Linked DNA regions of Alligator mississippiensis. The protein of the gene in region 2 purifies or fractionates together with the protein of the main gene of each other region. This does not show direct contact. Links are inferred from orthologs where the notes say so. Each region holds a gene or a part of one and is shown on either strand. Other genes may lie near its edges.

Region 1 (3,745 bases), on a different chromosome or scaffold from region 2:
CGGCACCCCTGCGGCAAGAGCACCGCAGCCCAGCACTAGCCGCAGCCCCGCGGGAGGGGGCCATCACGGCCGCAGGAACGGGCAGCACAGGCCAGCGGGCTTCACCTGGTGCAGGCTGGGTGCAATACCGTGGGGAGGGCGTTTGCTCCAGCTCCCTTCCCTCAGCTCTCCATCAGCAAAAGAATCACAGGAGCCAACCCCTGCAGGAAACCACAGCCGAGGAGCGCGGGCACCGTGGATCTGCCACCACAGCCCAGCACGCCGAGTCACAGCACAGCCTCTCCAGGAACCCGGGTTTCTCCCGATTTCCCCAACACACCGGACATGCTTAAGCTTCTGCTTTCTGCTCCGTGCAGAGAGAAGCTGCTGGGCTTCCCCCTTCTCGCAAGTGCCGACGTGAGGCCGTCAGGGACCAATAACCTATGCCATCAGCTCCTCGAGCCACCGAATTACGGCAACAAAGCAAGAGCCGCAGAAGCAGGCCCCGCACGCGCACGCAATCCCGGGCTCCAGCGAGGACCGCATTCTTTCCGGGCGCGCAGCAGCAGTGTGCGAGCTGCGTCCTGCCCGATATGGCCTCAGCCAGGCCGGCGCAGACGGCAGCACCCGCGGATTGACATTGCTTCTCGCCGCAGCTCCGCGCTTCTCCAGCCGAGCGGGGCCGTCTCGCCCCGGCTGATGCCGAGGGGTTTCGACCCCTCTCCTGCCCTGGAGCAGCCGTGCAAAAGCTTGCCATCAGGGCCCAAGCGAGAGGGTTTGAGTTCACAACGCGCCAAGGCCAACAACACCTCCTAGCCATCCTCCCCCTGCTCTGCCACCCACGCACGAGCCAGCGCCGACCCTGGGAGTGCCACGAGCCCCGGCCCTTTGGAAAACCAAAGATATTTCTGCTGGGCGAGGCTTGTTCCCACCGCCTGAACACCTCCTCGCGTGCAGCACCCAGCACTCGCCTAGAGACAGAGCAATGGGGCAGGGACCAGCCCTACAACCACCAGCCACCGCCCTGCCCGGTCGTTGCTCCCTGCGGTGCCTGCAGGAGCAGGGGAGGGGGACGGGGTGGCCCAGCTGTGCAGGGAGGCTGGGCCGGGGGCAGGTAGGAGGGAAGCCGGGCCGGGGGCAGGTACCTTCGAGCAGCACGTCGCGGCCGGCCCGCTTGAGCGCCTGCACGGCCTGGTCGTGGGTGGCGTCGCGCAGGTCGAGGCCGTTGACGGCCAGGATGGCGTCGCCCAGGCGCAGCGCCCCGCAGCGCTCAGCCGCCAGCCCGGGGAAGATGCGGGAGATGAGCACGGGCATGCGGTTCTCGCGCCCGCCCTTGATGCTGATGCCCAGCCCGCCCGCCTCGGCCTTCAGCACCCGCACGCGCCGCACGCCCGACCCGGGGCTGCCCGGCGACTCGCCCGGCCCAGCACCATTGGGCAGCGCGGGCTCCCCGGGCGGCTCGGCCGGCTCCGACGTGAGGGTGAGCGCCTCGCCGCTCAGCTCGGCCACCACCCGCACCCAGCGCTCCCGCAGCAGCAGCTCCAGCAGCCCCGCCTTGGAGGCGCGGGTCCACACGGCCATGGCGGGGCCCCCGCCGGCCCGGACCCGCCGCCGCCGCCCGCCCCGCGCGACTGCCCGCGCACGCCGCCCTCCCGCCGCGCCCCCCGCACACTTTGCAAGGCTAATGAGGAGGCTCGTCTCCCATTGGCGGAGGCGCGCGGCGAGGCGGCCAGCCCCGCCCCCCAGGGGCGGGAGGTGGGACAGCCACATCCTCCCCAAGGGGGGCGGGTCTTGCTCAGGCCCCGTACTGATAAATATGAATGAGGCCAGCGGGGAGGAGGGCTGCGGCGCCCCCCAGGGGAGGCTCCGGGAAGTGCAGGGGGGAAATCGAGGCACAAGGTGGAGGGAGAAGGGGTTGTTTCCACACTGCAAAGGGGTGTCACTCTCCCCCTTTTGCAGATGGAAAGACTGAGCCAGGCTGCAGCTAAGGGAGGGGCCCATGGTCCACCCCCACGTCCCAGTATCCTGCACCAGCTTCACCCAGAGCCACTCTGACCCGCTGGGCAGGCCCTGCCGGGGTAAGCACAGGCAGAAGACCAGCCAGTGGCCCTGAGTCAGCACCGCCCTGGGGTGTCGAGCATGGCAGCGTCCCGTGCCTCCAACACCTGCTAGGAGCACGCAGCAGGCTGGCAGCTGGGAGAGGAGGCAGCCAGTCCCTGCCTCCCCCCAGCAGCTTCGGTTTCCAGCTCCGGCAGCCTGGTTACAGCAGGATTGTCCCTGCTGCAGCCTGGGGAGGCCGTGAGCAGGGGAGCACAGCCAGGTTCGGTGCCTGGCAGCAGGCCCAGAGAGAAGGAGGGAGAAGAGCAGCCCTGAGCCCAGGGCATCCCTGGGGAAGGGCTGCTGGACTTTTGCTACACTGCATTACCCGTAGGGCAGGGGCAGTGCTCTGCGCCAGCCATGCCTGGCCCTGACTCTCAGGAAGGACGCTGGGCCCTCCTGGGGCCCCTGCGCCTGCTGTCGTCGTTCTCCCAAGCAACTGTGCTCCCAGCAGCGTGGTCACTGCTCCCCGCACAGGGAGCAACACACCCAGGACACACCGGGTGACTGCAGCCCCCAGCCCCACCTGGCTGCGCCGTGCCACGAGGAAAGCAGGGAGCTGCGGAGGAAGAGCACAGCCCTGGGGAACCACGGGGGTTTATTGCAGCAGCACCGGAGCATGGCAGCATAGTGTCCGTGACCCGCTCCGCCCTACGTGCCGAACTTCTTCTGCTGGACGGGTGGGGGCAGCTGGGTCTGGATGTCCGTCAGGGGCCGCTCCACCACCACCAGGCAGTCCTCGTCCAGCAGGTCCATGAACAACAGGGGCTGCAGGGCAGCAAGAAGCACGGGGTCAGAGTGGCTCTGGGAGCACAGGAGCCCACAAGACCCAGCTCACGGCTCCACTGATGGGGAAGTGGCGTGCATGGCCCCGCCGCAAGCAGCTGCACTGCTGCGGCTGAACAGGGCAGCACCCCTGGAGAGGTCAAGCCAGTGCCCCGCACCCCATGCAGCCCCAGGGCACAGACCTGGTACTTCTTGCAGATCTTGAAGGCGTGAGCGTGGCCCCGGCGGGCCTTCTCTGAGAGCTGCTTGAGCAAGGCCTGGTTGTTCAGCTGGGTGTTGTCATCGGGCAGGGGCTGGGGAGACGGCATGGGTTGAGGTTTCCTGATGTGGGGGACGCTGTGCCCACCCTCAGGCACCCCCCAGGGCTTTTAAGGGGGTCTCTGCTCCGTAGGAGCATAGCCAAGCACCCGGAGAACCAAGCTCTCTGAGGAGGTGGCAGGGTGGGCTGGAGGGAGGCTGTTCCCCAGGAGTTGCAGTCCTGCCCCACGCAAGGGGATGAGCCTTGTGGTGCTCAGGTAGGCAGAGGCCTGTTCTGTGTCCAGCGCCACACTGAATCCTGCAGGCTTATGACCAGAGCACAACACCCAAGCCATTCCCACAGACAATGACTCCCGCAAAGCACCCTTGTCCCAGCCACAACCAAGGACGTGGCCACAGGACTCCTGGTCAGAGAGGCTGCAGGGGCCAGCCCCGGAGAACCACCTGCCCCCCCACCTTGTCCAGGCAGGTGGCAGGGCGCAGACTCACCAGGGACTTGTCCAGGATGCAGAGCATGTACGTGTCGTGTAGGAGCAGCTGCGTGGGCTGCCGGGGGTTGAAGGCTATGTGGGCAATAGGCGTGTCCCGCTCCAGCCAGTCCTTGGGCAGCCCGTGCTGCTGCACC
Region 2 (3,745 bases):
TCAGTTACCTGTTGTTACTTACCATTTACCATCAGAAATATACAAAATATAGCTTGTGTTAAAGCACGTGTAACCATGACTTTCATAAGCATGTTTCAGAATTAAATTGAAGCACTTTTAATCTGCCATTTCTGAGATTCAGCATGCTCTTCTGTTGACCATTTGAAGGGTGGGAGCGGAGTTGCATGTTTTCTGTGTGTATGCGCTAAATGTAATTTTTAACTTATCGTTAATTTCAGGTATGTACAGTTGTTCCAAACCAGGGTCAGATAAGGAAATGGACCAGGGTTAGGCTGATCTAAATGCCCAATCATTCAAGTGCTCAGAGGTCTTAAATTGGGCAAAAAAGGCATGCCTGATTTAAATGTTGTTCACCTAAGTAGGTGTACAAGCATATATTGATATTCTGCTAACCTGATTTAGGAAACCTGAGCTTGTGAACATCTGCATGTGTTTATGGTGCAGCCCCAGGGCTGGGGAAGCCCCAGCCACTTTCCCCAGCCTGGGGCCATGCTAGTCCCCCTGCCCCACTAGCTGCCTATACCTAGATTGGGTGTGGTGACCTTAAGATTGCTTGGAGTTGATACTCTGGCATTTGTCTTGGTGTGTCTACTTCATGATGATCTTATCTTTGTAGCTTACATGAAAACAAACGTTGGGATTTTCATATCAGCAGTGGGGTTTCACCAGCGATCTGCTAAAATGAAAGGAAGATGTAGTGCTTAAATTCCTTGTACGTCTTTGAAATACCCAAACTAAAATATGTAACTGGTACCTGCCTTCAGAACAGTTTATTACAGATAGCTTTTCATAGAAAAAAAAAAATCAGAGAAGCAAAGTGCTTTATCAATGGTCATTGTTGTTTGTAGCTAACAGGAGTATGTATACAGCTTTTAAAGGACGTTGCTTGAAACTTCAGCAGGCTATTTGTTTAGAACAGCAGAGGGCAATCGCCACAGGTTCTTTCCTACCTTCAGCCCTGTAGAGTTTTTAACTTGCTATAGTTTTGAAAACAGGAAGGAAAAGAATTAACTTTTTGTTAAGAACACCCAGCAGTATATTGGTACCTTTATAAATAGGGACCTCTCTCTAATCATTTGAGCCCACATTGTTTGCATATATTCTTTAATACTGAAAAGTTTACTTGTTTCCTGAGTGGCTCACACTGTTGCAGTTTGTCAAGTTCTCCTCTTAAAAAAAACAAATTCTCCCCTCCCACCCTCCCTTTCAAATCCCAGCATGCAGTTCTCATGAGTGTACTTGCAGGCACTTCCTTTCCATCCTCATTTTCCTGTTTTTAAACATAAAGCTTGAACATGAGCATCCAGACATGTAAAAAACTTCAGTGGAAAAAGCATATGTTTTCTATGCCTGGGGATATTGACATCCAGGCTTGCTCTCTTCTACCAGGTGAGTAAGTATTTAAGACATAAGTGTATTTTCAAGACCAGAGGACAAAAAAAAGTAAATGAATGTTATTTCTGTCTACCTTTATCTGATGTAAGTTTTCTAAGTCTAATAGCAACATGTCATTGAAGACAGGCAGGAAACAGTCCAAGGAAAAGACGGTTTACAATCTGCTGTTTGTGGCACAACTCCGTTTTAAGTACTGTGTGAATTGTGGCTGGCTAAACACTCTCAGATCCGTTCACCTTCAGCTGTTTTTTAATCTAAATATTTCTTCTCAGCATACATTTGGTGAAAGTTCTCCTATTCTTTCACTGGTTGGCTTCCTTTGAAACCATGTAAAAATTAAACATGAGAGGAAGCTGGACAGTTTTGCTAATGTTTCTTTTTATCAGAAAGGAAACTACATCATTTTCAGTTGATGATCTTGTTGACTGCACTTTTATAGTGTTCTGCTCATTGTGATTGCTGAGCATATTGAATTAACATACATCCTTAACTTCACCACCATTTACATTCCAGTAAAGATGAATGAAATCTGATGTAATGAAAAATAAAGTAGGTGGACTTTTGGTAGAGAAGAAACTGGGACCACTCTTTCTTTTTTTGTTGAGACTTTTTAGGGATTGCTAGTTCCAGTGGTATGGGGCCAAAGCCAAAAAAAACGTGACTAGCAGAGCAGTGTCAGTGTGAAGACATCCACATAGGTGAATCTCAGTGTTCTAGATGACATTATGCCTCTGACAGGGCATGGTATTTCAGACCTTAAGGGCCTCATGCCAGTCAGCTTGGAGACTGATTATTTGATAATATAAAGTGACTCCATTGACTCCAAACTAGCTAAGCAACAGAGAGTTTAGCCCATCTGTTTTATTTCATTTCAGTTTTGACCTGAATTTTGGATACTAGAACAAGAGAGGAATTTCAGATTTTAAGTGAAGTGATATAATATGATCTATTTACAGTCTCATAAATATGTACATAGATCTGGAGCAATGGAGCTGATCTGGTGTTTAAGCAGAATAAATGAGATCTGCATCTAGCCCTTATTCTTTTAAGGGCCTAATCCAGCCTAAACTTCCATTTTAGCTGATGTAAATTTCTGGGCATGCTCAGTGGATTTAGTTATAACTTTACAAGTGCCTTGAGATCCTTTTGAGGGTGCCATAAATTGCCACAGAATGTTAGCACTGTTAAGTTTACAAACATGATTCACAAAAACCCAGAGATTTCCTATATAAATCCATAGTCGTGGTCTTTCTGAGTTTTTTACAGAGAAAAAAAGCTCTGTTTTTTTTCTGTAGTTAAAAATGAGTGAAAACTAGTTGGCATTTTCTGAAGGGTGCCTCAAATATGTCCAGGGATGCCTCCGGTCTCAGAAGATTGAGAACTGCTGCACTAGGGAGCTGTGTGTTCACCCTGGCTGAGAATCATTGCTCTAGTTATACACGGATGAGTTTCTAAGCGTGCTCAGTCCAAACTGTGAATAGGGATGGAGTACAAATGTAAACCCTCCTAGTTAAATTTTTGCTAATTGCTTCTCTAAGTGCTAGATGTGTGTTAATATGCAGAATTTTGTGTTGGTTTAAAAGCTTCTCGTAGAGAGAATTAGCTTTCTTCCCATAAGGTTAAAGTTCATTACTGCGCTGTCAAATTCATTACTGCATTGTCCAAAATATCTGTAATGCTCATTTGGAGTGTGTGAAGGACATATACATTGACTGGGAACATCTATGTGTGCATTAATGCACTTTTCCTAATATGCATTAAATTTAGTGCCTCCAATAAGAGGTACTAAATAAATGCGCATTTAGGTTGCACTAATGTGCAGTAGTGTAAGCACATGCTTTTTAGGTGATGCTTAATGTGCAATAGCTTATTCTATTGCTCATTAGCATATTAGCACTTTTTTTATGCACCACTTTAATGCACAGTAGAATAGGCTGCTGCACGTTAAGGCACACACAGACATGCCACAGATACTTTAAAATGACCCCAGGGAAAGGAATTAAAATTGATAGAGAAAGATTAGGATAGATTGGATTTGGGAATGGGGAAGGGGGAGGAAGAGAACACTGGAAACTAAATAGAAAAGCTAAATGCAAATAGTTTCTCAAACTCCATTTCGTTCAGTTTTGAAGAGAACAAGCAAGCTGAAATATTGTAAGGATGAAAAAAAGAGAAGTCAATATGAGGGTAAAATACCCTTCTGAGTATAGGTGGAAAACAAAAGAATAAAATAAAATAAAATATTTTATTTTGTTCTTTTATTCTTTTGGGGAATAAAATACAGAAGGTGGGAAAGCGTAGATGTAAAGTTTTAAACAAGCTTAGAAAG
Region 3 (3,745 bases), on a different chromosome or scaffold from region 2:
CAGCCTCTCCCTTTTTCTCTCCCTCTCTGACACAGAAGATGCCTTCATAAGCTGTGAAGCTAGATGAAGGGGACGGTTAGATCCTCTGGACTTAGTGCTGGCTAATTCCTCCTGATCCACAGGATGTACAGTTACTTTCCACTGCAGAAGATGCAGAGCAGATCAATGGGTTGCTCATTTTTTACTGCCAAAGACCCCGCTAGAGTTTACTTTTCCTCCCCAACTCCCCAGAGAAGCTTTTACGGCATTTCCTTTTCATACCCCACATTCAGTAATTTGCATGCGACCTCAAATGCACCCCTGAGGCTGCGGTCCAATTCCCCATGGCTCCGCAAGAGGGTCCCAAAGTTCCTTAGTAATTCAAAAGCGGCACATCAGAAGCTGCTGTGGTTTAGAAATATCAGAAGGACCACTTGAAAAATGACTGAGCAAATCTATTTCAAAGCAAAACAGGAGATAAAGAAAAAAAAAATCCAGAAGCAGGCGTGTCACACCGCTCCACAAATGCCAATGACCCTTCGATAAATGAACTTACGTGCAAACAAGCAGGTACTTTAATCAAACATGGGCACCAAGGGCATTTTCTCTCTAATGTACACCGAGTTTTTTTCCCCTTCTTTTCAGCTGTTCCTTCTCTCAAATCTAGTAAATACATTAACCCTCCAGCAAAAAGGGGGGGGGGGGGTTAAACTCTTCTTTTTCTAAGCCTGAAGATTTTTGTTTCTGATCCTGAGCTCATTGTCCCCTGTTTCGTACCCTTGGAGCGCTTGCTTTCAGCTGGGTGTCCTCGGAGGTGTGTGCCAAAGCTTTAGAGCACTGTGCATGTTGGACTCCGTCTCGAGGGCGGTTTCTAAAAGGCTGTCTCGCGCTTGGGAAAGGAAAGTCTCTGCTTTGCGTGTTTTGAAATGAATGTTTCAGGGAGACCCTGGCCAGGTCCCCTCAAGTTTATTCTCTCCCTTTGCATAAACTGGGGCATTGTGCGCGTGGGGGGCACATTTCAGTCGTTCCAGGCCAGGCGGGTTGGCACAGCCCTGCACGACCTGATCTGCTCGTTTCTCTCTCCTGGCTGAGTGAAAGTGGCCGGGCTGTCAGCCTCCGAGATCCCAGGTGCTGTTAACTCCTCCCTGCCCAGTCAAACCTAGCGCTTGCCTGGATGAAAAGGCGCTGGTGCCGCTTTCAATCCACACGTGGGTCACTGCAGAGACATGGCACAAGGCTCAGCGGGCTGGGGTGGCACCTACACTTCTGGTGGCCCCGGACGAACTTTTAGTATTGCCCCCCTTTGCCAGAGAGAATGATAATCATAATTAAAAAATACCATTTTCAGGCCCCCTTTCTGTCCAGACCCCGAGCGGGTGCCTGCGTCCGGCCCTGGCCGAGGGGGCAGAGCTCAGAGACCCTCAGCCCCCACCCCACTTGCCCCTGGCACCTCCAGGGCACAGGCAGCAGAGACCAGCCAGCCTCAAACCGGAGTCACTCCATTTAAGCCCTTCCGTGCCGCACACAGCACTCATGCATCCTGGGGCTAGGGGGGGACCCCCAAGCACATTAACCCTTTACCTTCCAGCAGGGACCAGCCAGCCCCAAACCGGAGTCACTCCACTTAACCCAACACACGTGCACCAGGGCTGGGGGGGGTGGGGGGGAACCCTCCTCGGCGCATTAACCCTTTACCTTCCAGCAGCACCTCCTTGCCCGCCCGCTTGAGCGCCTGCACCGCCTCGTCGTGCGTGGCGTCCCGCAGGTCCGTGCCATTGACAGCCAGGATGGCATCGCCCACGTACAGCGCCTGGGTCTGGTCGGCCGCCAGCCCCTTGAAGATCTTGCTGATGAGGATGGGCATCTTGTTCTCCTTGCCGCCCTTGATGCTGATGCCCAGCCCGCCCAGCTCCTGCTTCAGCACCTTCACCCGCCGCTTCTGGTTGGACAGGCTCTCGGGCACCTGCTCGGGCGGGTCGGTGAAGGCGGTGCGCACCCCCGCCGCCGTGGGGCTGCCGCCCGGGGACGCCCCGTTGCCGCCCAGGCCGTTGTGGGCCGCGCCGTCGGGGCGCTCGTCGCAGCTGAGCACCAGCGCATCCTCGCCCAGGTGCACCAGCACCCGGTGCCAGCGCTCCCGCACCAAAACTTCCAGCCAGCCGCTGCGCTGCGCCCGGCCGCCGCCCGCGCCCGCGCCCGCGCCCGCGCCCGCCGCTACCGCCATCTTTGGAGCATTCTTAAAATACCATGTGATTGCACACACCGGCACCCGGCACGGCTCGGCGCGGCGCGGCTCGGCACTGCACGGCGCGGCGCGGCGCAGCGCGGGACTTCGCTCCGCGGACGGGGCGGGGCGGGGCGGGGCGCGGCGGCCCCTCCTCCTCCTCCTCTTCCCGCCCTCCCCCCAGGGGCTCCGGTGCCGAAGTTGCAAACAGGGTGGCAGGGCTCCTCGTCCTCGGCCCGGTCCCACAGGTGGGAAGGGCGCCCTCGCCGGAGCGACTCGCGACCCGGTGTGAACGGCAGCTAGAAAGAGGCGCTGCGGCGCGGGGCAGCTCCGGGGGACGCGGCCGTCCGCGCTGTGAGGGGCCGCGCGGGTCGCCGGCACCGGGGCCAGAAGGGGAGGCTTGGTTTTATGACGACAGGACTAATGACACGGTGTCTTGGGGTGATTCTTGGTCGAGTTGGGACTTCTAGGTAATAGAGGACATCGCAAGTTTTCATGGGCACTCCAATAAAGTGTTTGGGTTTTTTTTCCTTCCATTTTAAATTGAGTAACTATAGCTCCAGGCCCCTAGCTGATTAGTGAAGCTTCTCATTTCTTTTTCACTGGAGAAACGTGTACGACACCATCTGCACCCTTTTTCTCAAAATCCTGGATCCACCCGTCATTACGGTGCTATTTGGAAGAGTGAAGTTGAAAGCAGTTACAGCGACTGGGATGCTGTCTTTCTGGGACAGAGTGACTGAGTTTAAAACACGCACACATACACACAGACGTACACGCTCTCACACATTTTCTCCTGGGGAAATTTGCTGGGGATATTACTGTGATACAACCTGCTAGGAAAAACAGCCAAAACAAATCCGGTTCAACGCCCCCCACCAAAGCGTGATCCCACAAGCTGCTCCATGTGCACACAGCTGTGCTCCCAGCATGGGCAGCTCTGTGCACAGCTGCTTGCAAGACCCGAGCAAGAATCACAATGTCTGTCATCCTGGTACAAACCATCGGAAAAAAAAACAGAGAAAAGACGAACTTAGAGAATAGAAGATTGTTAAAGTCAGGCTCTTACCAGAAAGCAAAACAGGGTTAATTCCTTCACTGAAAATACCCACTATCCCACCTGGTATGATGAACCAGAGAACTGCTGGCTCCTTTAGCTGAATCTCAATTGAAGCAGCTTCACTGGGAGAAAGAAACAACCCGTGGATCACGCATGACCTAAGTTGTTAAGTGCTTTATAATGTCACCCTCCATTGCCTACTTGCTGGATTTTTCAACAAACATCTTTATGCTTCATCCAAGTGCTTCTCATGTGGTAAGTATCCACAAAGCCACCTCATTACCACCCCCCTTCAGATTCTTCTTGCGACTCTCCTTTGCTGCGATGCCTACAGAAAACTCAAACAGGCAAGCTGGTGATGTACTATATTGCCTAGCGTGCTGATCAATACTCATCCTTTACATGTGCTCACCTGTTATATGTGATCTCTTGTGTTACAGTTGGTTTACATGATGAACTCTCCTGAACAAATTCTGTATTTGTAT

What was found.
Region 1: the proteins of UTRN (region 2) and SNTB2 purify together in Homo sapiens (affinity purification with mass spectrometry; 4 studies listed by BioGRID and IntAct, with this or other methods). This does not show direct contact. The link is inferred for Alligator mississippiensis from reciprocal best matches to the Homo sapiens genes UTRN and SNTB2.
Region 3: the proteins of UTRN (region 2) and SNTB1 purify together in Homo sapiens (affinity purification with mass spectrometry; 3 studies listed by BioGRID and IntAct, with this or other methods). This does not show direct contact. The link is inferred for Alligator mississippiensis from reciprocal best matches to the Homo sapiens genes UTRN and SNTB1.

The regions. Positions count from the first base shown.
Region 1 is NC_081833.1:76,224,568-76,228,312, reverse strand, and holds the start of SNTB2 (beta-2-syntrophin), read right to left. Parts: upstream 2,582-3,745; 5' UTR 1,981-2,581; coding exon 1,125-1,980; intron 1-1,124. Other genes in the region: UTP4 (U3 small nucleolar RNA-associated protein 4 homolog), read right to left, coding at 2,728-2,844, 3,045-3,155, 3,610-3,745. UniProt on the Homo sapiens protein: Adapter protein that binds to and probably organizes the subcellular localization of a variety of membrane proteins. May link various receptors to the actin cytoskeleton and the dystrophin glycoprotein complex.
Region 2 is NC_081824.1:124,457,908-124,461,652, forward strand, and holds the start of UTRN (utrophin), read left to right. Parts: upstream 1-1,301; 5' UTR 1,302-1,316; coding exon 1,317-1,410; intron 1,411-3,745.
Region 3 is NC_081826.1:22,277,978-22,281,722, reverse strand, and holds the start of SNTB1 (beta-1-syntrophin), read right to left. Parts: upstream 2,282-3,745; 5' UTR 2,201-2,281; coding exon 1,675-2,200; intron 1-1,674. UniProt on the Homo sapiens protein: Adapter protein that binds to and probably organizes the subcellular localization of a variety of membrane proteins. May link various receptors to the actin cytoskeleton and the dystrophin glycoprotein complex.